Callithrix jacchus: one gene and its partners. Each later gene encodes a partner of the first gene's protein in a complex. Links are inferred from orthologs where the notes say so. Each region holds a gene or a part of one and is shown on either strand. Other genes may lie near its edges. The genes, in order: SNRNP200, RBM48, SART1, CRIPT, DHX16, CWC22 and SF3B5.

Region 1 (3,500 bases):
GTGGCTCACGCCTATAATCCCTGAACTCTGGGAGGCCGAGGCAGGTGGATCATGAGGTCAGGAGTTTGAGACCAGCCTGGCCAAAATAGTGAAACCACATCTCCACTAAAAACACAAAAATTAGCCAGGCGTGGTGGTGGGCACCTGTAATCCCAGCTACTCGGGAGGTTGAGGCAGGAGAATCACTTGAACCCAGGAGGTGGAGATTGCAGTGAGCAGAGTTGTGCCATTGCACTCCAGCCCAGGCAACAGTCCAAGACTCCATCTCAAAAAAAAAAAAAACAACACCATGTATGAACTATGTCCATGCTCTAAGGCAAATGTGCAATCTTTTGAAACAGCGGGACACAGTACTGAAAAATAGGAATTTATGGCAAGAAGGTTAAAATGCAGTACAATAAGAGCAGATACATTCTCAATGAAAGTATTCACTGTACTTTACCTTTTGTCTTTCTTTTTATTGATCCACTTGGTATACTTTAAATAATTATATTACTTTATATTTGTTAGTTTCAATTTGCTATAGAAAAGTTAAAGGATAACGGCATTTTTTTTTTAAGCAAAAGAACATATAATGCCTAAGTCTGAAACCCAAACATCATCATGAAATTTACATTTAAGGGAGCTTCTTTACACTAAAAGGGGTCCCTTTACCTTAAACAACTTCAAAAACAAGAATGGACTGGGTCTGTTTGCTTTATCACTCACCTCCTCATCTGACTCAAACTGCACATTCACACCGTATGTCTCATCAATGTTGTCATCTGAAACAATGAAGGATTAGAAAAAGAGGGCAGTGAATGGCTAGTAAAACAAGGAACTCTGGAGCCAATGTCCTCCCCAACTACCTCTCCTCAAGAAAGATCTAAGGGCTAAGGATACACAGACACTCAGATGATCAACATGAGAGAGCCACCTATGCGGCCACTGCCAAGACCTTCTCCAACCTGCCAGCCTTGGAGTCAGCCCAGCCCTGCTTGCTCAAACACTTGAGCCCCCAAGGCTCTGCCCACATTTTCTCCCTTATTCTACACAATAAAGGGTCTCAGAGTAAGGAACAGCTGCTGGAATCTAGGGATTCTGGTGTCCATCAATTGTAACTCCTCAAAAAACGCAAAACTAATTATGAGAACTTACTGACACTACGGTTTTTAAATGAATAATGCTAGAAGATGCATGTTTAGGGGTCAACAACCGTTAACATGATCAGGACATAAAGAGCTTACATACCCATATTTTGGATTTCCTTGTCTCCACCATAGTCTGTGATCTTTTTGCCCAAGTTCACTAGCACATGGTATCTGGTATCGTCTGTTTGACCCAGCAGCAGGTCAATCTCCTTTCGTCTTTCCTTGTCCCGAAGCTTTTCATTCTTTAGAACAGCTAGAACTTCATCAGCTGCCCCACAAAGGATATCACGTGGCTGGTGGCAAGAAACAACCAACAAATTTTGAGCACAATGATAGGCAGAACATCACCAACCAGGTTTATGTGGCAGCAGGATGTGAAGAGCCACACCTCTTCAAAACCTGCCTCATAATAGGCTCTGATCTTTTTCATTAATGCTGATTTAAAATGCCACAACTAAAGGAAGACTCGTCTGTTTTTTTTTTGACACGGAGTTTCGCTCTTGTGACCCAGGCTGGAGTGCAATGGCGCAATCTCGGCTCACCGCAACCTCCGCCTCCTGGGTTCAGGCAATTCTCCTGCCTCAGCCTCTTGAGTAGCTGGGATTACAGGCACACACCACCATGCCCAGCTAATTTTTTGTATTTTTAGTTGAGACAGGGTTTCACCATGTTGACCAGGATGGTCTCGATCTCTTGACCTCGTGATCCACCCACCTCAGCCTCCCAAAGTGCTGGGACAGGCTTGAGCTACTGTGCCCAGCCGACTCGTCTGTTTTTTAAAAGATTGGCTAGATGGCCTCAAGAAACAGGACACAGCTTCCAGAATAGCTTGCCACGTCTCCAGGTGGCAGTCACTTGGCAGACCTGCTCTAGCCTCCCACACTTTTGTAAATCTTTGTCCTCACTTCCTCTAGCACCCCCCTCACCAGAGCTTCTCAGACTCATAATGGTCCCCAATCTAATCACACACACATGTGTAATGGTTAGGAACACAGATTCTACAGAGAAACTACCTGAATCATATCTTGGCTCTGCCAAATACTACTTCTGTGACTTGGGAAAATTACTTAAGTATTCTTGCCTCACATCTCTTCTGTAAAATGGATGTTAATAGCACCTTTGCACAGAGTTATATGAGGGGGAAAAAAGAAGACATGTGCTGTTCCAAACAAATCAAGTGCTCAGTAAATATAAGCCACTTCTGTAAACCAGCACGGCCCCCATGGGGATCCAGTGACAAGGGTCATCTGGTGTCTCCCAGCTATGACCTCTCCCTTTCTAACACATGGTCCCACCCTTTGGCCGCTTCACTCTGAGAATACAGAAATAAAGCAAACTCAGTTTTTTCTATACTCTCACAACGATTAACATAGAAGGCTTCTGTGATGATTCCTCCCCATCAGCAACCAATCCAAAAATAGTGCAGTGGACACAAGCTGAGTGTCCTCAAATTCAATTCAGTTCTGACACTAATTACCTAGAAAGCTTCAGATCCCACAGGTTGAGGACTCAGTCCCACAAGCCTGCCTCCCACTTCATGATGACAATCACATGCACAGGTTATTTGATGTATGCTTCTCACTGAACAGCTATAAATTGAGGTTTCCATGATCCCCTTTTTGGGTTCAACTAATTTGCTAGAACAGATCAGGAAAACACTTATTTTTACTATAAAAGGCATATTACAAAGGATGCCTACCAATGAACAACAGGTGGAAGAGGTGCACAGGGCAGGCATATGGGAAGGGGTGTGGTCTGCCAGGCCCTCTCAGGCACACCACCCTCCAGAAACCTCCATGTGGGCAGCTGTCCACAAATTCTCTAAACCTAGTCCTTTTGGGGTTTTTATGGAGGCTTCATTACATAGGCATGATTGATTCAATGACCAGCCTCCATAAAGGGGTTGGTCAGCCATCAGTCAACTCATCAGCGTACAAAAGACATTACCACTTCAAAGATTCCAAGGATTTTAGAAGCTGTATTGCCAGGAAATGAAATAAAGAATGAATATATATTTCACAGTATCACACTCACCTGGTCCCCAAGAGCAGCCTGGATGAAGCTGAGTAGCACCTCATAGGTCTCCCGAGTCTCCTTAGTTTTGGGCTTATAGATGATACCCACCATCTCATCAATGCCCTCCGACAGCAGAGTATAACCCTTCATCTTATTGATGTCATGCCGATCCTCATCGCGCTTTCTTCGCCTAATGGACATGTAATGTGATGTTGAATGGCAGAACCTTTCCTCCCCAAGGCAAGACTGGATCAAACCCACCCTCCTCAGCTTCTTGGAAAGAAGCTAATAACTGAAAACAGGTACCCCAGCCTCAGCAAATGATTCCTATTTGGCCTTAATCACTTGTAGGGG
Region 2 (4,268 bases), on another chromosome or scaffold:
TTTAAACCTCTTGGATTTGTTCCCTAGTCTTTAAGCAACTAAGGACCCAGCTGGTTGGCCTGAGGTATGTAAACTCTGGTCATAAAATAGAGCTTTTCTGTGGCCCTGAAGAGTTAGTTCATATCCAATTAAGCTTTTTCAGCACAATGTATTTCTGTAATGGGATTTATGCCTTAAAAATCAGATGAAAAATACTATAATCATAATACCTTCAATAACTGAGGAAATACTAAATATATAACAATGAGAAAATAAAAATGTTATTCAGTCAATACTTACTAAACATCTATGATATGCCAAGTACTACAATAAATAAATTTAACTACTCCTATATCCAGGGATAATATTAATACTTGTTGAGATTTTATCATATGCCAAGCAATGTCATAAGTGCTTCCCTTGAATTAATACCTCACAACTGTATAATGAAAGTGAAGCACTAGGACATTATATAACTTAGCCATGCTCATACTCTCGTTTGAGGAGCAAGGATTCAAATAAGGCATTGCATACTTCAGCTTTTTTTGAGCAGAGGGCTTATATCAGATAGAAGGCTGGAAAAAACTGAGTCAATTCGCAGAAAGGAGTGACAATAGCTAATGCTTACTGTATTCTGACCAGGAGGGACTATGCTAAACCCTTTATATGGATCATCTCATTTCATCAGCATACTACCTCAAGAAGGTCCCTTTAGCATATAGATTTTATGGAAGAGGAAAAACAGGTTTAACCTGGTTAAATAACTTGTCCAAGGTCATGAAGCTAGTAAGCAGTTGGACTGGAAAACTTACTCCAAGCCCAACTTTTTGTTTTATTTTTTTGAGACAGTGTCTCACTCTGTCCCCCAGGCTAAAGTGTAGTGGCCCATAAACAACTCACTGCAACCTATGCCTCCTGGGCTCAACTGATTCTCCCACCTCAACCTCCCAAGTAGCTGGGACTACAGGCATGCTCAGCTTGATTTTTGTATTTTTCGTAGAGGCAGCGTTTCACCATGTTGGCCAGTCTGGTCTTGAACTGGGCTCAAGCAATCTGTCCACCTTGGTCTTCCAAAGTGCTGGGATCAAATTCAACTTTTTTTTTTTTTTTTTGAGACAGTCTCACTCTTGCCCAGACTGGAGTGCAGTGGTGTGATCTCAGGTCACCACAACCTCCACTTCCTGGTTTCAAGTGATCCTTGTGCCTCAATCTTCCCAGTAGCACAGGCTTGTGCAACCACACTTGGCTAATTTTGTATTTAGTAGAGTCAGGGTTTCACCATGTTGCTCAGGCTGGGCTTGAACTCCTGACCTCAGGTGATCCCCCTATCTCGACCTCCCAAAGTGCTGGGATTATAGGTGTGAGCCATGTGCCTGGCCTCAAACCCATCTTTTTTTTTTTTTTTTTTTTTTGAGAGCCTCGCTTTATAACATAAAAATAGATAAGGCATTGCATACTTCAGCCTTTTTGGACTCTAAGCTGGAGTCCTGTGGCATGATCTTGGCTCACTGCAATCCTCCACCTCCCAGGTTCAAGTGATTCCCATGCCTCAGCCACCTGAGTAGCTGGGACTACAGGTCCCAACCACCACGCCCAGCTAATTTTTGTACTTTTAGTAGAGCTGGGGTTTCTGTCATGTTGGCCAGGTTGGTCTTGAACTGTCGACATCAAGTGATCTGCCTGCCTCAGTCTCCCAAAGTGGTGGGATTACAGGCGAGAGCCACCGTGTCCTAACTTCAAACCCAACTTTTAATCTACCACACCACAGGACATTAAATTGTTAAGCATGGGAATGATGTGATGGGAACAGTGCTTCAAGTAAAGTATACCTTTAAAAAGGCTAGAGGAAAATAAGTGGAATATAGGCTAGATTACATTGAATGAGGTATGAATGAGGGAAACTTGGGCCCAAAATGATAGAAATATGAATGGAGAAAATGAGTCACTGCTTAACTTGCACATTACCTTGCACTTTGTAAGTTCACAAATTTAATAAGATAAACTTCAGTAAAGTCTTCTGCCGGGTATTCATCTAGAGCATTATACTGTTCAATTGGACCATATAAAGCGAATCGCTCAACTAATTCTTTCATGGCTCCCACAGCAGGAACTCCTTGTATTAGTAAGTACTGAGATTCCAAATTGATTGTATATACCTGAAAGAAATGCAGAGTCGTTAAATGTATCTCGCAAATAAACCTAGGACGAATCTGCCTCTATTTTTTTTTAAACAGCGCTTTCAAAACAAGAAATAATCTGTTCAACCCAAACACAAAATAAAATGTCTCTCATTCCCTCTGCATAAAGAGTAACAGCCCATGTGAGAGGGTACCTAACAAAGGCATATAACAGACTACCTTCAGTCGACATTTTTTTCCAGAAATTGAGTCGGTAGAATTCACCGGGAACAATCACTCAACGAGTATTCACTGAGCGCTTACCTTGTGCCAAGTAGTACTGTAAATACAGAAGATCCAATGACTAAAACCAAGCCTTACTCTCGTGGAGGTGCTGTTCTAATAGTTGACCAAAAGGATCGTGAGAATCTTTGATAACTGACCCAAGCAAGGTTCTTCACGCTAGCTCTAAAGAGAGAGGGATCTGACAGCAGCCTTGTCCTGCCCTTATTTCTGTAGACTGGCTATATGGCGCTAGCACTCATATAAAGCTACCGAAGAGAGCGAATGAAACCAAAATCACTTTACCTTGACAGCACGAGGCCGTCGTCCCTCCCGATATTTGGCCCGCGTGTCGCATACCGCCCGCTGGACGTGGTGGTCAAATACATTCCCTAACTCCCCACCGCTCGACGCCATCTTGCCTGCTTTGATCCTCGCAGGGAGGACAACATCCGCCCTGCTGAGCTCCCTTTTCCCCAATAAGAGAGCGAGATGAGTCAAGGAGTCCCACGATTGGCTGGAGAATCGACAGCGTCGGCCATCGTTTCCTGCGTGAGAGGATTTGATGAACGAGTTGCCGCCCCCGCGAGCGGCACCGCGGAGAGGCGCGGTGAGTGGCAGAAGCTCGCTTGTTCCACCTAATACAGGCTTGCGACGAGAGGCGCAGCGGTCAGAGGGGGCGGGGCCGATCTATCTCCTCCGGCTCCGACGCCCTTGGCCTGCCAGGTCCCGGGTCCGCTGCGGCGCTGGGGTGGGGCGAACCCGGAGCGACGCGTAAGGACGATGTGGGGCAGCGATCTCCTGGCGGATGCTGGGCGAGGCGGGACGGCAGTGACTGTGGTCTTCACCAACGCTCGCGACTGCTTCCTCCACCTGCCGCGGCGTCTCGTGGCCCAGCTGCACCTGCTGCAGGTAACGTGCCGGCTCCGGCCACCTGCTGTTCAGCCTGGGGTCGGACTAGGCCGAAACCTCTCTGGGAGGCGGCGGGATGCCTGCTGCCTTTCGGGCGCCGCCGAAGCGCGCAGAGGTCAGACGAAGGGTCCCTCGAGGACAGGGCCCCTCTGAGTAGTCTTTGCGTCCCACAAGTCCTGGGCAGCCCTGGGCTTGTCTTATCCCAGGTCTTTTCACTTGGTGAAACTGAGCCTAGAAACATTCTAACATTCTACCATTGTTTTTAGAAATATTCCTTATTCCAGGTTGGAATATCTCCTGAGAAGTCGTTTGTTTTTGTTATTTTAAAAGGTGTTTTTCTTGCCAGTCATTTCCAGTTACCTGCGCTGCTGCCGTCCCGGCCGCGAGAGGGAGGCGGAGAATTGTTGGCTGAGCCCGGGTAGATTCCCGGGGACTGACCACCGCGTCCCATAAGCGGGAAAGATTAATACAATGATGGTTTTGCGCGGCGTCGCTGACCCTCGGAACACAGCTGTGGTGTGTTAGGAACACGTAACGTAGTTAGGATCACTTGAAGCTCTGAGATCAGTCGCCTTTCTGGACGTTGTGGTAGGGAAGTTTCACAGTTGTAACCACTGGTGGAGATACAGCGTCCCTACTTTCATAATTAAAAATAGAGGCACATGGTCTCAAGAATTTGAGTGTGCTTATGGGGGCAAAAGGATAGCGTATTTGAAGTTCTCATTGTAAGGTTAGCCAAGAGGAAAGGAGAGTAGACCCAAAGTCAGGCAAGCAAGTCTTATTAACTTGCCAGGCTGTTGGTAACACTCAGAGGAGGCAGCCCCGAGCTCACAAAATGAGGGGCTTTTATGGGGTGAGAGGAGCTTAAGAGAGTTTCAGGACTGAGATAATTTATCAGCTTGTCACAGGCACAGAGATAGTTTGTTAACTTGTGACTGGCTTACAATATACATCATCCTGCGAATCCTGTGACTTGTG
Region 3 (3,955 bases), on another chromosome or scaffold:
TTAAGCCCTGGAGAATACCTCAGTTTATAGTGTTACTACTCAGTTATTTCTTTTTATATAATCCTTTATATGATTATATATTAGTTTATAGAATTAGGGCTTGGAGAGTATCTGTTTACAGTGTTACTACTCAGTTATTTCCCTTTGTACAATCCTCTCTATATGATCACACATTAGTTCATAGAATGAGTGCCTAAAGAATATCTTACCACTCAGTTATTTTCATATATATTAAAACTATATCTAAGTTTATAATCAGAGGAATGCCTAGAGTAGATACAGTACAGAGCATGAATTAAGGAATAAGCAGCTTATAATCGGAGGAATGCCTAGAGCAGACACAGAGCACCGCATGATTTAAGGGAAAAATGTTATACCAGGGCAAGAATCCATGGCCTAGGCAGCAGCATTCAGTATTATAGATACCCGCTGTATGGCAGGCTTGGGGCAAGAGCCACTCCTCCTGATAAAGGAGTTGTAGGACCTTGCACCAGTTCCTGTGGAAGGCTGCCCTCAGACCGGCAATCACACCTTGGTGACTGTGAACTTTATCAGCTCTTGTTACTGTGCTGCTCGAAAAGCATTCCTCTATAGAACTTATTGGAAGCTGCCAGCAGGTGGCATAGACCCTGACAGCTCTGTCACTGCTATGTGACTTAAAGCATCCTCCTATAAATCTTCTTAGTAGCTTACCCATAGATAGAGGTATTGCACACTGCACCCTCTTCACTGCACATGGCCCACCTCCATACCTCAGTGACCTAATGGGGGTGGACCCCTTACTGCACACGGCCCTTGCCTTGATGACCTAATGGGAATGGACGCCTTGCTGCACACTGTCCACCTCCCAGCCTAGGTGACCTAATGGGGTGGACCCCTTGTTTTATTGCTCACGACCCTATCACTATCCTTAAAGATGACTTCACTCACTGCCCTGCCCCCTAACCTAAACACAACAAACACTCACGCTTCTGGACATTTGGGGCCTCACCTGACTCCACTCATAGGGGCGTGGCCCCTCGAGCCCAGCTGCATTTTCCCTGTACTTCTGTGTCCTGTCTCTTTTTTATTTTTTTGAGACGGAGTTTCGCTCCTGTTACCCAGGCTGGAGTGCAATGGCGCGATCTCAGCTCACCGCAACCTCCGCCTCCTGGGTTCAGGCAATTCTCCTGCCTCAGCCTCCCGAGTAGCTGGGATTACAGGCATGCGCCACCATGCCCAGCTAATTTTTTGTATTTTTAGTAGAGACGGGGTTTCACCATGTTGACCAGGATGGTCTCGATCTGTTGACCTCCGGATCCACCCGCCTCGGCCTCCCAAAGTGCTGGGATTACAGGCTTGAGCCACCGTGCCCGGCCTGTCCTGTCTCTTTATTCCTTGGATCCTGCGCCTCAGCACAGCATAAGGCACACCCTGTGGGCCATCAGCCCTACAAGCTTCACTGGCCACCCAGATACTGACTCCCAGTGGCTTTATCCAGTCCAAACTCTGGCTTTTCACATGCACATCAAGCTCCACAACCCCAATTATCCATCCCCCTCCAAATCTGCTTCTCTTCTCTGCTCCTCAGTTTCAGTAGAGATGACACCCACAACTCATCTGGCTGCTCAAGTCAAAATTCAAGGAATCATTCTCAATGCCTTTTCCTTCCCAGTCTCATACAAGTGCTGAGTTCTGTTCATTCCTCCTCCAAAACACCTCTCCAACCTGTCCACTTCTCTCCATCCCACTGCTGCTGCATTGGTGCAGGCTACCATCGGCCCTCATGTGGTCTCTAGCAGTCCTGATTTCCTGGTCTCCAATCCTGACTACCTTTGACTAAGTTCTCAATCCAGCAATGTTTACAAAATATGGATCTGAGCAACTCACTCCTCAACTCACATCCATGGCTCCCTACCAACCTCAAGACAATCTATATTTCTTAACGGAACCTACGGTACACGGTCCTTTGTGTTCACATCCCTAACTATCTTTATCTTACTCCCTCATTTCACTACCATGAGCCCTACACGATTCTTCCAATACCAGGTTTCTCTCGCCTCTGCATACGCTGATACTACTTCATTCATTCATTCAACACATTTATTGAGGATCTGTAATTGTACCAGACAACTGAGGAAAACAGAAGCCCTCTGTCCTCAAGGAGCTAGGTGGAGAAAGTCAATCTCTAATCCTAATCAACCATAGAAAATACTTTTTTTTGAGACAGTCTCGCTTTCTTGACCAGACTGGAGTGCAACTGGCGCGATTGCAGCTCACTGCAGCCTCTAACTCTTGGGCTCGAGAGGTGCCGTAGAAAAACTATTTAATAGGAGTTAACGTAGACAGTCTGGGGGTTTCCCGGCCTGGAGAGCTTCGCAGCCACTGCGCGCACACCCAGACCCGCCCGCTCCGGGACCCCTGCCCGCCCCGCCCCCTGAGCAGGTCCCGCCTCCTCACCGGCCTCATAGCCGTCGTCGCGCTTCTCCCGCTTCACGCGCCGCTCTGAGGGCTCTGCCTGGCTGCGCTCCCGCCCGTGCGTGCTGCTCCGGGCCTCAGCTTCGGCCCCGCGCCGCCCACTCCCGCGCTCGCCTCCACGTTCCCGGCTCCGCTTCCGTCGTTCGCCGCCGCTACCGCCACTGCCGCTACTCCGGTGCTTGTGTTTTTTGTGCTCCCGGTGCCGCGGCGGCTGCTCGGTGGCCCCACCGGTCCCGGCCGCCGCCGTCGTCCCGGCCGCCTCTTTCTCTCCGCGGTGCTTCTTGGACGACCCCATAGTAGCGCGTCAGCCCCAAGCCCGGCCGCTGCCGAGCCCAGACAACGCAAAATGGGAACACTTCCGGGTCGCTCGGCAGCCGCTGTCGTGTTGCGGGAAACTAAGAGCGGCTGCTTCCGCCGCTCGCCTTGGAGCCTGCCCCAGAGGCTCATGGGAAGGCTAGGATCAGGGCTCCACTGCGCATTCGCGCGGTCTTGGGTCCAGTGGGTTCTGTGAGCAGGTGGTCCTGTTGCGCATGCGCTCCTCAAGGGACGCGGAATTAACCCCGGAGATGGGATCCCAAAACTGGAAGGAGTTAGACCTGCTCCACCCACCACACAAACAGCAAATAACTTTACTGAACACTATCAAATGTGTTCAGACACCTTAAGCCAGTGTCTTCGAGGCTGGAAGTTCCTCCTTGGCCTCCCTGCGCTTGTACTTCCCCGGCAACGTGGTGTTCACTACCTCACGGTCTCCGTGGACACCTCCCTCCTACAGTGGGCGCTCGCTTCCTGGACTCCTGGGGTCGTGGCTCCAACGGGTGTTGTTTTCCCGAGGTCCCCAATTGCATAGCCCAGCTTCCGACTCCCTAGAACCAGTATCCTCAGGGAACGCTGCCTTCCCACGTCCCCCGGGTTGTTTTTCTCTTGAGATAGGATCTCACTCTGTTCCTCAGGTTGGAGTGCAGTGGCGCCATCACCGTGCACGGCAGCCTTGACCTCCCGGGCTCAAGTGATCCTCCCACCTCAGCTTTCCCAGTAGCTGGGACTGCAAGTGCACGCTACCACGCCCCTCTAATTTGTGTATTTTTTTATAGATATGGGGGCGGGGGTCTCACTATGTTGTCCAGGCTGGTCCTGAGCTCAAGCGATTCACCCGCCTTGGCCTCCCAAGTGCCGAGATTACAGGTGTGTGCCACTCTGCCTGGCCCTGGATTGGGTTTTTTAAACGTGTGAACTGTTAAGGAGCTCCACATGGGTGTCAGTGTGTCCGTGGAACCCCTGAAATTGAATGCAAAATATGGCACATCTGTGTGTATGATTTTTTTTCTTGAGGAGAGGATCCCTAACTTAAAACTACTGGAACTTAAAAAGACCAATGCACACATTCCCTCCTGAAACCCCTCCCCCCACCCAACGGTTACTAAGACTGTGGCTCCCTGTGTGGCACAGTCAGTCTGTGTTAGGGTATGTTGTATGCACCCCTCTGAGGGTCCACCCC
Region 4 (4,250 bases), about 62 Mb from region 1:
AGACACTTAGGATAATTGAAAATATGCATAAAAGATGGGTATACAGTAGTCTTTTGATATCGGTATCTTTCATGGTGTTTTCCTGGGTGGCTAGCTAATAAAAAACAAGAAGAGCATATGCAATAATGACTTTTTCCATTGTCCAAAATGTTTCAACCCCTACAAATAAGTCATAAAGTCAATTTCCTATGGGCAATGTATTTGTTTCAAAACACCTGGACCTTATAATAGGTGAAGGGGAGAAAGGCAGCAAATCACACTGCCACGTGTGTACCTATGCAACAATCTTGCATGTTCTTCACATGTACCCCAAAACCTAAAATGCAATTTAAAAAATTGCTCTCACTTAATTCACCCAATGCTTTTCAAAGGCAGATACTTTACTGATAAGGAAACACGACAAACAGGTAAGGAGGTCCAAGTTCTCAAGAGCTACAGCCCTCTCTCTGGTACAACGAAATAAAGGGATGGAGAAGGAAACGGATGGCAAGAAGGGACAAAGGGAAAGTTTCCTATAGATTCTATCTTAAGCTGATTGAGGGAGGGCAATCATCAGGAATCCATCCTCACAACAAACCCTTCATCCATTTTTCTGAGCCACCCTCGGAATCGCAGCTGCCAACAGGAGATGCTCCTACAATAAGCAGGAACCAAACTCAAATGTTTGCTGAACGAATGAAGGAACCAGAGTATGTAAAGTGGGAAACTAACTCTCCTGGGAAACCCACACCGTGTTAGGCCCTGGCGTGCCCCCAGGACACCTACAAGGGTGCCACGGGTATGACCTGGCCCACCTCGCTAGGCACCGCAGCAGAGAGACGGCGCTTCCGAGCGGCCCCCAGAGGAGCCCTCGCGGGCATCGCCGCACCTTCACTGGCAGCCCCACCCCAACCTGGGTCGCTCGGGATTCTGCCCGAGCCTAGGCCGGCGCGAGCGTCGACAGCCAGGAACCAGCAGAGAGGCAGGATCAAAGAGCACGGGAGTTGGAGACAAGGGAAAACTGGGGGACAGAGGCAGAAACTCGGATCCGAAAGGGGGGGTCTGTCCATCAGAGCACGCCGGAAGAGTGGCGCTCGAGCTGAGGGCGAGAGCGGGCGGGCCGGGACGCCAAGGCTCACGGCTGCTACGGCAGTTCGCGGGGGTGGCTTGCACCCCGGGGGGCGAGATCGCCGGGGGCGTACATTGGGGCTTACCTAACTCTCCCACCCGCGGAAGGGAAGCGGGGAACTACTGCCTCCTACCATCAGGTACGACGTGCTACCCAGGCCCACCCGCAAGCGCAGGGTTAAGGGGCGGAGATCCAGGGCCGCATAGCCAGTAGCAGAAAGAGAGGGGCGGGCAGATGGGGCAGCCCCGCCTAGACGCTCCCGTTCATTCCTCCCGCGGCCTTCCAAGTTTGGGCTAGACCGGAGCGGCGTGCTTAGAAGCCGGAAGTGGGTTGACGTAGCCCGGAAGGGGAAGCCGTCCGGGTTTTAGTTTTGATGTTTTCGGGCTGCTGTTGCTGCTGCTGCTGCTGCTGTTGCGGCTAGGGGAACCGTCGTGGGGAAGGATGGTCTGCGAAAAATGTGAGTTAAGGGGCTCCTCCTGCGGGAGGAAGAAACTGGGGGAACCTAAATGAACTCTCCCGGGAACTCTGCCTTCTCTTTTGTTTTTTCTTCGCCCACATCTTTGATTCTAGTCGCTGTCCTTCTGCTCTACCCTTTGACCATTTTTGCACCTCCCCAAAGACCATATAGTCCTATAGTATATTTTGTTTTCAGAATGGTCTTAGTTCTGCATCTCCTTGTCTATTTCCATTGCCTTCCCCCAGCTCCAGATCTCATCAGCTCCCCTCCCGTATAAAAATGTTCAGTTAAACCCCAATCACACCTTTCCCTCTTGCAATTCCTGACCTTTCCTTTTTATTCATGTAACACACTAGAACCAAAGACCAAGGACCTCGTCTTACTCATTCCTGTTAGTCATTATGCCAGAATATGGCTTAGAGTAAGCCCAGAAGATGTGTGAATTGAACATCAACGCAAGTGCAAGTTACTATTTCCCTAATTTAACACCTTTAATAAATTCTCAGTGTGCAGAGAACAATGTGGGGATTCTGTATTTGGAGCCTGACGTTCAGGACCCTCCGCAATAAGGCCCCAACTTATTTTTCCAGCTTCATCTTCACTGATCCTTACCCTCTTCACACTTTGACCAAACGTAACTACCCTTTGTGCCCATGTGTACTCGGAGCTTTCCATGCCTTTCCTCAGAATGTGTCCTTTATCAGTCTGCCTTTATCCTCTTTACTCCTTTTTGTTCACAGTCCTATTGCCACATATTCAAATCCTCTCTCTTGCCTTCTCCCCAAACTTTCTTGGATTTCCTTAGCCAGGGTTATATCTTCCTGCATGGAATTTCACCTAGTACTTTAGCTCTCAATTATTACACCGTTTAATTTTTAGCTTATATTTTGGTTGAATGATTCTCAGGTTCTCTCTGAGAATCTGAAGAAAGCTATAGACTCTTGCCAGGAAAGAAAAAAAAAAGATATATAAAAGGTTTGTGTACAATTCTGCCTTGTTCACATATCTCTTAAGATCGACCTGTGGAACATAGATTAAAGATTGCTGTTAAACTACTGTACTATAATCTCTTTAAAATTTTGTCTGATTCATCACTTATTTTTTTCAGTAATTTGTATAGTTTATACATCATAGATGCTTAGTAAATATGTATGGAACAAATAGACTTGCCAGATTTGTTTAAAGTATAAACAAACAGAGAAAGCTTATTATAAGCCATCTTATTATCCTACGGATTTTACTGTGGATCAGTCATTCATTGCCCACAGTTAATACAAGTCTCAGTTCACTGACTGCTCTCCCAGCATTAACAGGCTCCTGCAGTAATAGGACTGTTGATACCATTGTGAACCTTAGGCACAATGTGATGCACTTATGAAATACTAAATTTTAAATTGCTTTTTACTATCTTATTATAACAGGTGAAAAGAAACTTGGTACTGTTATCACTCCAGATACATGGAAAGATGGTGCTAGGAATACCACAGGTATTTCTTCTTTTAGAAAATAGGAATTTAACCAGAGACTCCTGTGAATATTTTATCTTTTACGTTATTTGTAAAATGAAATGTGTTCAAAGTATTTTGTCTATTAAACATGAAAGAATCCTGGGTCCCCAAGTTATTTAATATCTTCTACTTAGTTCTGTTACTTGTACAGGTTCCTAACATCAGGAGATAGCAAAATTATTAAATGATTGTCAAGTGGTGACAGTATCATAATATTTGATTTGATTCAGCTTATTTAGAGACTGCATTTAATTTCTCCGCTCTTCTGAGGAGAAATTTTTTTAAATCTGGTTTTTATATTCTTGAATAAATCCTTTAACCCATTTTACCTTCATTATCATTAATTACTTACAGTGAAGTATTTACCTTCATTATCATTAAATACATAAAGTATGTTTTCGAAGGGAAAGAAAAGAAACATAGACATTCAAGGTCTATGACACTGAAGTAGTGGGTTCTAGATTTTACAGTATATCAAGTAAATATAGACCCATTCCTAAGGTACTACCTTGAGTCTGAAAAATAAAATGATTGTATTTTATACAAATTTTTATTGTTTCTCTAATAAATGTTTTCTTTTTAAGCAGCGTCTTAATAACCTGACTGTTAAATGAAGATTTAAAAATTAGATATAGGCTACTAGTTTGGCAGAAAGTCAGAGAATGAACTTCTTAATGTTATATGTTAAATGTATAGAAGTAACCCTTTAAAATAACTTCTATTTTGATACAGAAAGTGGTGGAAGAAAGCTGAATGAAAATAAAGCTTTGACTTCAAAAAAAGCAAGGTGGGTAAGAGGATCCATAGAGAAGTCATATAATTTTCACTCTTTTAATGTTAAGCCTACTGGAGTGAATTTGATGTGCATCATTCCAATTGCAATAAAACATAGAGTTAGGTGGTTCCTGGCACTCAGAACCAAGCTATTTGTTATAACCTGCTGGTTTTACCTTATTCCTCCTTACTGTATGTCCCCCTCTGACTTCATATTGTACCATACTCCTCCTCATTCATCATATGCCATCCTCATTGGTTCTGCCAAGCCTCCCCCATCCAAAGAGATTTGTCCTTGCTGCTGTGTCCTCGAGGTCTTTACTGAGAGCTTACGTATCTGGCTCCTTGGTGTTTGGGTCTCAGCTGAAGGGTCTTTTCTCGGAGAGGTTTCCCTAATCAGCCT
Region 5 (3,500 bases), on another chromosome or scaffold:
AGGAGTTTAAGACCAGCCAGGCCAACCTGGCAAAACCCCATCTCTCCAAAAAATACAAAAAATGAGCAGGGCATGGTGGCATGTACCTGTAATCCCAGCTACTTGGGATACTGAGGCAGGAGAATTGCTTGAACCTGGGAGACAGAGGTTGCAGTGAGCAGAGGTCATGTCATTGCACTCCAGCCTGGGCGATAGAGCCAGACTCCATCTCAAAAAAAAAAAAAAAAGTATTAGCTGGATGTGGTGGTACGCACCTGTAATCCCAGCTACTTGGGAGGCTGAGGCACAAGAATCACTTGAGCCTGGGAGGCAGAGGCTGCAGTGAGCCAAGATCTTGCCACTGCACTCCAGACTGGGTGACAGAGCAAGACTCTGTCTATAAACAATAAATAAATAAGTCCAAGCTCTCCTGTCATCAAAGGCCCTCCCTAATCTTAGCCCCAAATTGTTTTTAGCCTTATCTCCTACTCCTGTACCGCATGAACCTCCCACTAAGCCTACTAGCTGACGTTCTCACCTCAGACGCACCTTGGGCCTTCCACTGATAACTTCTCAGCCATTTTTCTTTTTTGAGACAGAGTCTCACTCTATCGCCCAGGCTGGAACGCAGAGGCACAATCTCAGCTCACTGCAACCTCCGCCTCCCAGGCTCAAGCGATTCTCCTGCCTCAGCCTCCCAAGTAGCTGGGATTACAGGCACCCTCTACCATGCCTGGCTAATTTTTGTATTTTTAGTTGAGACAGGGTTTCACCATGTTGGCAAGGCTGGTTTAGAACTACTGACCTCAAGTGATCCACCTGCCTTGGCCTCCCAAAGTGCTGGGATTACAGACGTGAGCTACTGCACCCAACCTCAGCCATTTCTCTTAAAGGTCCATATCAAATCCCACCTCCTGGCCCATCAAGGACTTCCTATCTCCACTGAATCTACTGTGCTTACTTTGCAGATCACGTATTTGGCTCTCTCTTGGTTCATACGGTATTTCTCCTCTCTCTTCAGCCCCAGGGGTGAGAGAATGGCTCCTCAGCTATGTCTGCAGCAGTGCCCAGGACTCCCCTTGCATGGGGCAGGCACACACCTTTTTCACTACTGTTGTGTGAAGCATAGGTGTGAAGAGTGTGGGTTTCTCCAACTGACCTTTCGTGCCCCAGGTGGTGTGGGCTGGAAGATACGGGCCTGCATGTCGGAGGGCAGGTTGGCATAAATGGGCAGCACCAGGAGCTCCCGGATTTTGGAGCCCAGGCGGCGGCAGCGATCCTGGAGCATCTCACAGGCAGCCTCAATCTCTTCCTGGATAGAGAGTGGGGAGAGCAGCAAGGGTCCCAGGGTCACAGAAGACCAACATGCCAGCCTAGTCCTCCCCTGGGATACATTACCCCCTCTCCCAACCATATCAGGCACCTGTCCTGTCAGGAACACCAGGATATCCCCAGGGGGCTGGGTCACATGGATCTGCAACACAGATACGACACAAGCTTCCAAGTAGTCAGCCTCTGGAGCCTGGAGAGCAGAAAGAGATGGGGTCACAGGAGGGCCACCTGCTTAGGCAAATCGTTCCTCTCCTCCCAACTCAACATACACTTCATCCTAGTTCCCCTTTGGACTTTCCATTCCATCTTTCCCTCCTTGGGATAACCTCCTCCAAAGTCCCCAGCTTTTCCGCTACACACTTAAGCCCATCCTTCCTGAGGGGGCACCTTGGTATAGAAGATGTCCACAGGAAACCTGCGTCCAGGGATTCGAAACACAGGGGCGTCATCAAAGAAGGTGGAGAAACGGGCAGTGTCCAACGTGGCTGAAGCCACCAGGACCTTGAGCTCAGGTCGGAAGCGAGCAACATCCTTGATCAATCCAAAGAGAATGTCTGTGTGTAGGGTCCGTTCGTGTGCCTCATCCACCATCACCACGCTGAAGAGGTAATAGGGGAGCAATGAGGGAGGAGCGCTGGGTTATGCGTTATCAGACACCAGGGTTCCCTGGATGAGAGGGGAGTAATGGACACAAAGAGCTCAAGAATGACTGTTGAGGGAGGGGGCTCTAAGGAGACGCCACCATCCCAGTTACGTAAGACCAACAGAAAGTCAGAGAAGGCACAGCCCCGTGATCTGCAATCTATTCCAGCCTCAGCAGACAATAGGAGCCAAGATGTAGAGGCTGCACACTGACCCAGGACAAGTCAGACATGCCCTCTAGTTCAGTCAAGGGTCTGCTTAGACTCAGCAGCTCTTACTAGAAAAAGTGGAAGGATATGTTTTAAAGGAAAAAAAAAAAAAAAGTGGAGGGCAGGGTCCCCTTCAGTAAGAGGAGGCCACCAAGGCTGGCTGGGGATAATAGACCAGAGCTGCTGTGATTCAGACAGCCCAGAAGCTCCTGGTTTCCTGTGGAACAACTGCCTCTGGCATCCTTCCTGGCTCTGTTTCTTCTTTAGGAAAGAGGAACAAGTTAAGCCTTTCAACCCCAACTCTCAGAGGACTCTGCACATCCCTTGGTTTCCCCCAACTCAGTTAGGTACATGACACCTTCTTTCTCTTTGCTTTATTCTTTGGCTTTTCTGGGTGGCAGCCAAATCCCAGGGACTCATTCCCATCTTCCCCTACCCACCTTCCCAACCTCAACTCTGTGCCTAACCCTAACTGTGATGGTAAAGTCCCCAGCCATTCCACAAAGCACACTGGCTCGATGGGCAAAAACATCTGCATCAGACACTCTTGCACTGGCTGGCTCTCCATGGGTTCTCAGAGATTTTTTGCAAGGGATATGAAGTATCAAGTTCTATCTGTCCAATTGCTCCACTGTGATCTTCCAGGGCCAGAAATTCACAGCCTCTGAAGAGTTGAAAAGGCACATATTGTTCAGCTGGCCTGATCCCACCCCCAATCTCATTCATGAATCCCTTTTCCCCCTCAACACATGCTAAACCAACCCCTGGTTGGCCATTTCCAGCACTAAGAGCTCATTATTCACAGACCAAGCTACCCAAGACTTGTGTGGAGGACCAAGCCCCAGGGTCCAACCACTCTGACAAGCCCTGCAATCTGAGGGTGACTCAGCCATTTTGGTATGGAGCTGGAATCTGTCTCCCTGTAACCTCCCCATGGTTCCTAGCTATGTCCTGTAGGGTCACATAAAACAAGTCTGATCCTTTCTTCCATGTAACAGCTTTCACATATTTAGAAGAACCAGGATGCTTCCCCTGTTTCTCCCTCTGAGTTGAGCAACCCAAGTGTTTTCAAATGTTCTTCGCACAGCATTTTAGTCTCTGCAGCAATGCTCCTCTATTCTGATTGTTTTCTAAACCTTGGAGATGAGTAGGGACGGAAAAAGAGGTTTCTCTACAATCTCTTCTATCCTACAGCCCCATCTCCATGGTATCTGGAGGTCAGTTCAAGGACCATTTGAACCATAAAGGTTCAAGAACTGGTGGATTAATCAGAAGACAATGGCTGATTGGCTAGGTGGGAAAGGAGAGAAAGGCCAGAGATTAGAGATCCGGGAAAGC
Region 6 (3,500 bases), on another chromosome or scaffold:
GGTAATATTGAGCATTTTTTTAATATATATATATATAGGCTATTTGTACATCGTTTGAAAAATGTCTGTTTTTGTCATTTGCTCATTTTTTAGATTGGGTTATTTGTTTTCTTACTATTGGGTTGAATTCCTAATTTATTTTGGATATTAACCTCTTAGCAGATACATGGTTTGCAAATGTTTTTTCCCATTCTGTAGGTTGTCTCTTCACTCTGTTGATATTTTCCTGTACTGTGCAGAAGCTTTCTAGTTTTATGTAATTGCATGTGTCTCTTTTTGTTTTGTCACCTGTGCTTTAGGGGTCATCTCCAAAAAAATCATTAACAATACCAGTGTCTGGGAGCTTTTCCTCCTTGTTTTCCTGTTAGAAACTTAGAGTAGTTTCACAATTTCAGGTCTTATGGTTTAAGTCTTTAATCTATTTTGCGTGGATGTTTGTATATGGTGTGGGACTAAGATCTATTTTCATTTTTCTGCATCTGGATATTCACACAATTTATTTATTTATTTTTATTTTACTTTAAGTTCTGGTGTGTATGTGCAGATCTTGCAGGATTGTTACATAGGTATACACATGCCATGTGGTTTGCTGCCTTCATACCCCTGTCACCGAGATTAGGTATTTCTCCTAATGTTATCCCTCCCCAATCCCGCTACTATCCCTCCCCTAGGCCCCCACCCCCCAACAGACCCCAGTGTGTGATGTTCCTCTCCCTGTGTTCATGTGTTCTCATTGTTCAACACCTACTTATGAGTGAGAACATGTGGCCTGACACCATTTATTGAAGATACTGTCTTTTCCCTATTGTGTCTTCTTAGCCGCTTTGTTGAAAATCAATTGACTGCAAATGGCTGGATTTGTCTCTGGTTTATTTGTTCTCTGCAGCTCTATGTGCCTCTTTTTATACTACTATCATGCTGTTTGGATTACTATAACTTTCGTAGCAGATTCTAGGTCAGGTAGTGTGATGCCTCCAGCTTTGTTCTTTTTGTTCAAGATTGCTGTGGCTATTTGGAGTCTTTTGTGGTTCCATGTGAGTTTTAGGATTGTTTTTTCTATTTCTGTGAAAACTGTAATTGGAATTTTGAGAGATTGAGTCGAATCTGTATGTTGCTTTGAGTTTTATGGACATTTCAATAGTATTATTTCAATCCATGGACATGGGATGTCATGCATGTTCTTCCAGTTTTGCATCAGTAATTTGTGGTTTTTGGTGTATAGACCTTTCATAGGTTTTCTTTTTTCCATAACTATTATAAATGGAATATTTTCTTGATTTCTTTTTCAGATAGTTCATTGTAAGCATATGGAAGCACTACTGATTTTTGTATGTTGATTTTGTGTCTGCACCTTTACTGAATTAGTTTATTAGTTCTAACAATTTTTTTGGTTAAGTCTTCAGGATTTTCTATATTAAGATCCCATTTACAGCAAAGAGACTTCTCTATTTTTTATTTGGATTCCTTTTATTTCTTTCTCTTGCCTAATGGCTCTGGCTAGGTCTTACCGTACTATGTTGAATGGAATTGGAAAGAGTAGGCACCCTTTTGTTATTCCTTATCTTAGAGGAAAAGCTTTCAACTTGTCACTGTTGAGTGTTATTAGCTATGAGCTCGTCATATATGACCTTTATTCCAATTTAATTTCTAATGAGGGTGGAGGGATAATGTGAGAGAAATGGGAAAGATGAGCAATAAATTTCAGAAAAGCAGAAGGGAATCACCATATTCTATAATATGTGGCTTTAAGCAATTGGTGATACTTAAAAGGGTCAAAAAATATAAGTACCCCATTTTCTATTTATTATTTTAAAATCTATGGGCTGTTTTCTCATGTCATTTTACATGACTATGATTCTTTTAAAAAATAGGGAATATAGTAGCCAGGCATGGTCGTTCAACATCTGTAATCTTAGCACTTTGGGAGCCTGAGGCAAGTGGATCAGTTGAGTCCAGGAGTTTGAGACCAGCCTAGGCAACATTGTGAAACCCCATCTCTACCAAAAATACAAACAGTAGCTGGGTGTGGTGGCATGCAGTAGTCTTAGCTACTCCAGAGGATGAGATGGGAGGATCGCTTGAGCCTGGGAGGTGGAGCTTACTGTGAGCCAAGATCATGCCACTGCACACCAGCCTGGGTGACAGAGTGAGACCCTGTCTCTCCTTAACCTTACCAAAAAAGGTTGGGGTATAAAGTAGATGTAGCAAGTTGTAGAGGTACAGAAAGTTGATCAAGAGACAGCCACTTAACCTCACCAAAAAAGGTTGGGGTATAAAGTAGATGTAGCAAGTTGTAGAGATACAGAAAGTTGATCAAGAGATAGCCATTATCCTTAAAAGTAGGCAGAGGGCTCTCCATTTTACTTAGGAAAAAAAGTAGAGTTAGAAGAGTTATGGATTGCTAAAGATATTATAATTTATAAGCTGCATCCTTTTTCTCATTTTCTACTCTAGTGATTCAGTTGTCATATCTAAACCTACCATTAAGACTTTTTTTTCTGACTTTTGGCAGTCCAATAATTACTTGTCATTACATTGCTAAAAATAACTTCAGTTTGCCTGATTTGCCTTTTTCCCCTTTCTCATCAAATGCCTATAAAAACATGACCATTTTCAAAATCAGTTACAAGTAGATACCTTTTCATTTCCTGTCATTGTTTTAGCATTAATCTAGCATTGCTTTTAATTGTGTCTTTATTTCTCATAGGAGTATTCCAGATCTTCATTTTATTCTACTAAAATTAGACTTAAAGATTTAATGTCAAATTTGTCTTTAATAACAAAATTAATTTTAAAAAAAATGATGGACCTGTAGTAGAAGCTTTGTATTGTCTAACTTTTGAAGCAGGTCTGTTTTTGTTTACTTTTTTGAAAGTGTTAAACAAATTATTTATATGAACCTTAACCTCAAATTCATAATTACATATAACAAACAGATGGGGATAAGAGGAATTATATATAGAGAGAAAAATTTTGAAGATAAATTGCAGTAAAATCTTTATTCTATTTTACAAAATCACAAATTCACATTTTGTTTTCTGAAAAACAATTTTTATTAGTAAGATGAACTCTTTCCATTTAGTTCTGATTTCGATTTTATGATTATTTATAGAGAACTCTTACTGTATTTTAATAGTTTTTGTTTCATGTAATTAATTTGGTGATTACTTTTGACTCCTTTCTTATTTTTTAAACAGAGGACTGCTGTCCAGATCTGTTCTGCAAGCACAGAGTGCGTCTCCAATCTTCACCCATGTTTATGCAGCATTAGTGGCAATTATCAACTCAAAATTTCCACAGATTGGAGAATTGATCCTCAAGAGGTTAATTCTTAATTTTCGAAAAGGCTACCGAAGAAATGATAAGGTATATATGAATGGCTTGTAAGTAGAATTATACATAAGAACAGACTAATAAACCAGTATCAACAAAAGTAAGCAAGGTTAGTTTTGACACAGCTACATATATCATACTCTTTAAAAACTGTCTTTCTTGAGAAC
Region 7 (2,460 bases), on another chromosome or scaffold:
ATCCATATGAGGAAGTTATTAAACTAAAAATTAGGATATAAAGCAATAATAAGGAAGAGATGGATAATCTGCAAAGAGGAAGAAGAATTTACATCTGTCTGGAGCAGCCAGAGAAAATTCTAGGGAGATGCATTTGAGCTGCCTTTAAGGCAGATGCGTTCACCAAGGGAACAGACATTCCAAGTAGAGGGAACAGCTTGCACAAGGAACTGGGGAATGGGCACAACAGGTAACATGGAGAAGTACAGTTGTCCCTCAGTATCTGTGAGTGATTGGTTCCAGGACTCCATGGATACCAAAACTAGAAGATACTCAAGTCCCTGATATAAAATGGCTTGTATTTGCATATACACACATCCTCCCGTATAGTTTTTCTCTAGATTATTTAACAATACCCAATACAATGTAAATACTATGTAAATGGTTGTTATATTGTTTAGGGTATAATAACCTTTAAAAGTCTACACTTCGGTACACACTAATTTTTTTCCCAAATATTTTCAGTCGGGTTGGTTGAATTCACAAAACCCACTGAATGGAAGGGCCAAGTAGGGTGCCGTGAGGCATTGGAGGGAGGATATCAAAATAACTGGCTAGAGAGGAAGGAGGAACTTGAGGTGGAGCCGGAATGTGAGGAAATGGGTACTGTACTTGCTCACCAAACACCCTGGTTAGAGCTGAAATAACTCTTTGATGCTACAAACTCCTAAGCGACATAGTTGGGACCAGAACTCGCGCCTACTGACTTCTGGGTAATCCATCCCGGGTAGTGAAGGGACTGCCGTGCCGCCACGATAGGTCCGAAATACATAAGAGTTTATTTTCGGGGTTGCTCGTAGTCCACTCCTATTTGGGTTTCCCATTTCCCATCAGCCCCAAGCCAACCACGGATGCTTCCCGCCTCGCAGACAACACCCTCCACTAGGCACCCATACCGCTTTTAAAAGGCGACCAGAAGTTCCGGAGGCTGGCGTGCACGAACTCCAAAGACCAAGACCACAAGTCCCAGCATGCAACGCTCCCGGTTGAAAAGGGCCTCTCATAGCCACTAAGCGGACCATCATGCAACGCTCTATGAAGGGGCACGGCTCACTACAGGGGCGGCACACTTGTAGCGTCGCATACCTCGGCAACTCCAATTCCGTGACTGATGTGCTTCCGCTTCCGCTTCCGCCTCTGAGCCCTATGAGCGAGAGTTACACTACTTAGTCTCAGTGACGCCATTCTTCTGCGACCGCGTGGGCCCGGAGGTGCTGTGCGGTGTCCTCACTCCCGCTTGAAACGGTAGAGCGGTGACTTGTTTCCTGCGGCCTCTGACCTCGGAGCGAAGGGGAAAGCGGCGAGATGACGGACCGCTACACCATCCACAGCCAGCTGGAGCACTTGCAGTCCAAGTACATCGGCACGGGCCACGCCGACACCACCAAGTGGGAGTGGCTGGTGAACCAACACCGCGACTCGTACTGCTCCTACATGGGCCACTTCGACCTTCTCAACTACTTCGCCATTGCGGAGAATGAGAGCAAAGCGCGAGTCCGCTTCAACTTGATGGAGAAGATGCTGCAGCCTTGTGGACCGCCAGCCGACAAGCCCGAGGAGAACTGAGACTGCCTTACCAACGCCGTGCGCGGCGCCTCTCCCAGCGTTCCTCCCGTTTGCCAAATCCCTCGAGTATTCCTGCCTTCAAGGGACCGGCTCTCTCCATGGCTCCTGCGTCCCGCGCTTTCTGCGTATAGAAGTGCTTGCCGGGGAAGTCCCTCCTGACCCGCCTTCATGTGGACACTTTGGGACAGCATTGAGAGACCAGCAGGACCCCTGAGAACTGTGCTGGCGGAGAGGTCCTGCAGCCGGCAAGTCTCTGAGAAGAGGGCGTGGCGCTGGAGTGAGATGGGATTTGGCGTCTCGTTTTTGCCTAATTGATTGTCATTGGCTTTTTCCATAAAGTTTAGAAATCGTTCAGTCTCTTGGTGTGAACTTCCTGTGTTAGGGTGGAGGGCTCCGGAAAGAGCTCCAGGCACCGAGGTTCGCGAGAGTCCGAGTGGGAAATGGGTTTGGGTGAGGGTGCGAATGCCAGTGTCTGTGGCCAGGCACTTAGATATGCCTGTATACCTTTATAGTGTTCCCCGACTGCCACTTCCTCCAAGAGCTTTATTTTCAGTCTCACAATGACTTCAGTTTTGAAGTTTGCGGTTAATGTATCCCATCTTTTTCTTCTGTTTTAAAAATCTTTGCTGTCATTGTTTTCCCTAGCCTCTTTAAATTACATCCTTTCTTTTTCCTGGGAATTTGAAACCATGTCTCCAGAAATGACAAGATGGCAAGCGAGTTCATCCATTCTACATTCAACAAATATTTGTTGAGCTCTATGTGACAGGCATTTTCCCATGTTCTTGGGTATACATTAATGCTGGTGGTGGAGAAAGGTCAAACACTGTAGGCATAGCAAGCAAATGTTAGAAG

What was found.
Region 2: SNRNP200 (region 1) and RBM48 share a complex: the UniProt entries of both Homo sapiens proteins name them as parts of the minor spliceosome. The link is inferred for Callithrix jacchus from reciprocal best matches to the Homo sapiens genes SNRNP200 and RBM48.
Region 3: SNRNP200 (region 1) and SART1 share a complex: the UniProt entries of both Homo sapiens proteins name them as parts of the U4/U6-U5 tri-snRNP complex. The link is inferred for Callithrix jacchus from reciprocal best matches to the Homo sapiens genes SNRNP200 and SART1.
Region 4: SNRNP200 (region 1) and CRIPT share a complex: the UniProt entries of both Homo sapiens proteins name them as parts of the minor spliceosome. The link is inferred for Callithrix jacchus from reciprocal best matches to the Homo sapiens genes SNRNP200 and CRIPT.
Region 5: SNRNP200 (region 1) and DHX16 share a complex: the UniProt entries of both Homo sapiens proteins name them as parts of the minor spliceosome. The link is inferred for Callithrix jacchus from reciprocal best matches to the Homo sapiens genes SNRNP200 and DHX16.
Region 6: SNRNP200 (region 1) and CWC22 share a complex: the UniProt entries of both Homo sapiens proteins name them as parts of the minor spliceosome. The link is inferred for Callithrix jacchus from reciprocal best matches to the Homo sapiens genes SNRNP200 and CWC22.
Region 7: SNRNP200 (region 1) and SF3B5 share a complex: the UniProt entries of both Homo sapiens proteins name them as parts of the minor spliceosome. The link is inferred for Callithrix jacchus from reciprocal best matches to the Homo sapiens genes SNRNP200 and SF3B5.

The regions. Positions count from the first base shown.
Region 1 is NC_133515.1:6,146,103-6,149,602, forward strand, and holds part of SNRNP200 (U5 small nuclear ribonucleoprotein 200 kDa helicase), read right to left. Parts: intron 3,337-3,500; coding exon 3,165-3,336; intron 1,424-3,164; coding exon 1,231-1,423; intron 765-1,230; coding exon 709-764; intron 1-708. UniProt on the Homo sapiens protein: Catalyzes the ATP-dependent unwinding of U4/U6 RNA duplices, an essential step in the assembly of a catalytically active spliceosome. Plays a role in pre-mRNA splicing as a core component of precatalytic, catalytic and postcatalytic spliceosomal complexes.
Region 2 is NC_133512.1:57,090,155-57,094,422, forward strand, and holds the start of RBM48 (RNA-binding protein 48), read right to left. Parts: upstream 2,801-4,268; 5' UTR 2,796-2,800; coding exon 2,685-2,795; intron 2,136-2,684; coding exon 1,945-2,135; intron 1-1,944. Other genes in the region: peroxisomal ATPase PEX1, read left to right, coding at 3,162-3,290. UniProt on the Homo sapiens protein: As a component of the minor spliceosome, involved in the splicing of U12-type introns in pre-mRNAs.
Region 3 is NC_133511.1:123,038,134-123,042,088, reverse strand, and holds the start of SART1 (U4/U6.U5 tri-snRNP-associated protein 1), read right to left. Parts: upstream 2,801-3,955; 5' UTR 2,753-2,800; coding exon 2,440-2,752; intron 1-2,439. UniProt on the Homo sapiens protein: Plays a role in mRNA splicing as a component of the U4/U6-U5 tri-snRNP, one of the building blocks of the spliceosome. May also bind to DNA.
Region 4 is NC_133515.1:68,132,468-68,136,717, reverse strand, and holds the start of CRIPT (cysteine-rich PDZ-binding protein), read left to right. Parts: upstream 1-1,450; 5' UTR 1,451-1,549; coding exon 1,550-1,565; intron 1,566-2,986; coding exon 2,987-3,052; intron 3,053-3,805; coding exon 3,806-3,860; intron 3,861-4,250. Other genes in the region: PIGF (GPI ethanolamine phosphate transferase, stabilizing subunit), read right to left, coding at 1-94, 795-1,049. UniProt on the Homo sapiens protein: As a component of the minor spliceosome, involved in the splicing of U12-type introns in pre-mRNAs. Involved in the cytoskeletal anchoring of DLG4 in excitatory synapses.
Region 5 is NC_133505.1:35,454,728-35,458,227, forward strand, and holds part of DHX16 (pre-mRNA-splicing factor ATP-dependent RNA helicase DHX16), read right to left. Parts: intron 1,910-3,500; coding exon 1,699-1,909; intron 1,502-1,698; coding exon 1,403-1,501; intron 1,292-1,402; coding exon 1,139-1,291; intron 1-1,138. UniProt on the Homo sapiens protein: Required for pre-mRNA splicing as a component of the spliceosome. Contributes to pre-mRNA splicing after spliceosome formation and prior to the first transesterification reaction.
Region 6 is NC_133507.1:49,040,851-49,044,350, forward strand, and holds part of CWC22 (pre-mRNA-splicing factor CWC22 homolog), read left to right. Parts: intron 1-3,197; coding exon 3,198-3,366; intron 3,367-3,500. UniProt on the Homo sapiens protein: Required for pre-mRNA splicing as component of the spliceosome. As a component of the minor spliceosome, involved in the splicing of U12-type introns in pre-mRNAs. Promotes exon-junction complex (EJC) assembly.
Region 7 is NC_133505.1:150,851,934-150,854,393, reverse strand, and holds SF3B5 (splicing factor 3B subunit 5), read left to right. Parts: upstream 1-1,224; 5' UTR 1,225-1,344; coding exon 1,345-1,605; 3' UTR 1,606-1,960; downstream 1,961-2,460. Other genes in the region: uncharacterized protein LOC118153004, read right to left, coding at 1,126-1,224. UniProt on the Homo sapiens protein: Component of the 17S U2 SnRNP complex of the spliceosome, a large ribonucleoprotein complex that removes introns from transcribed pre-mRNAs.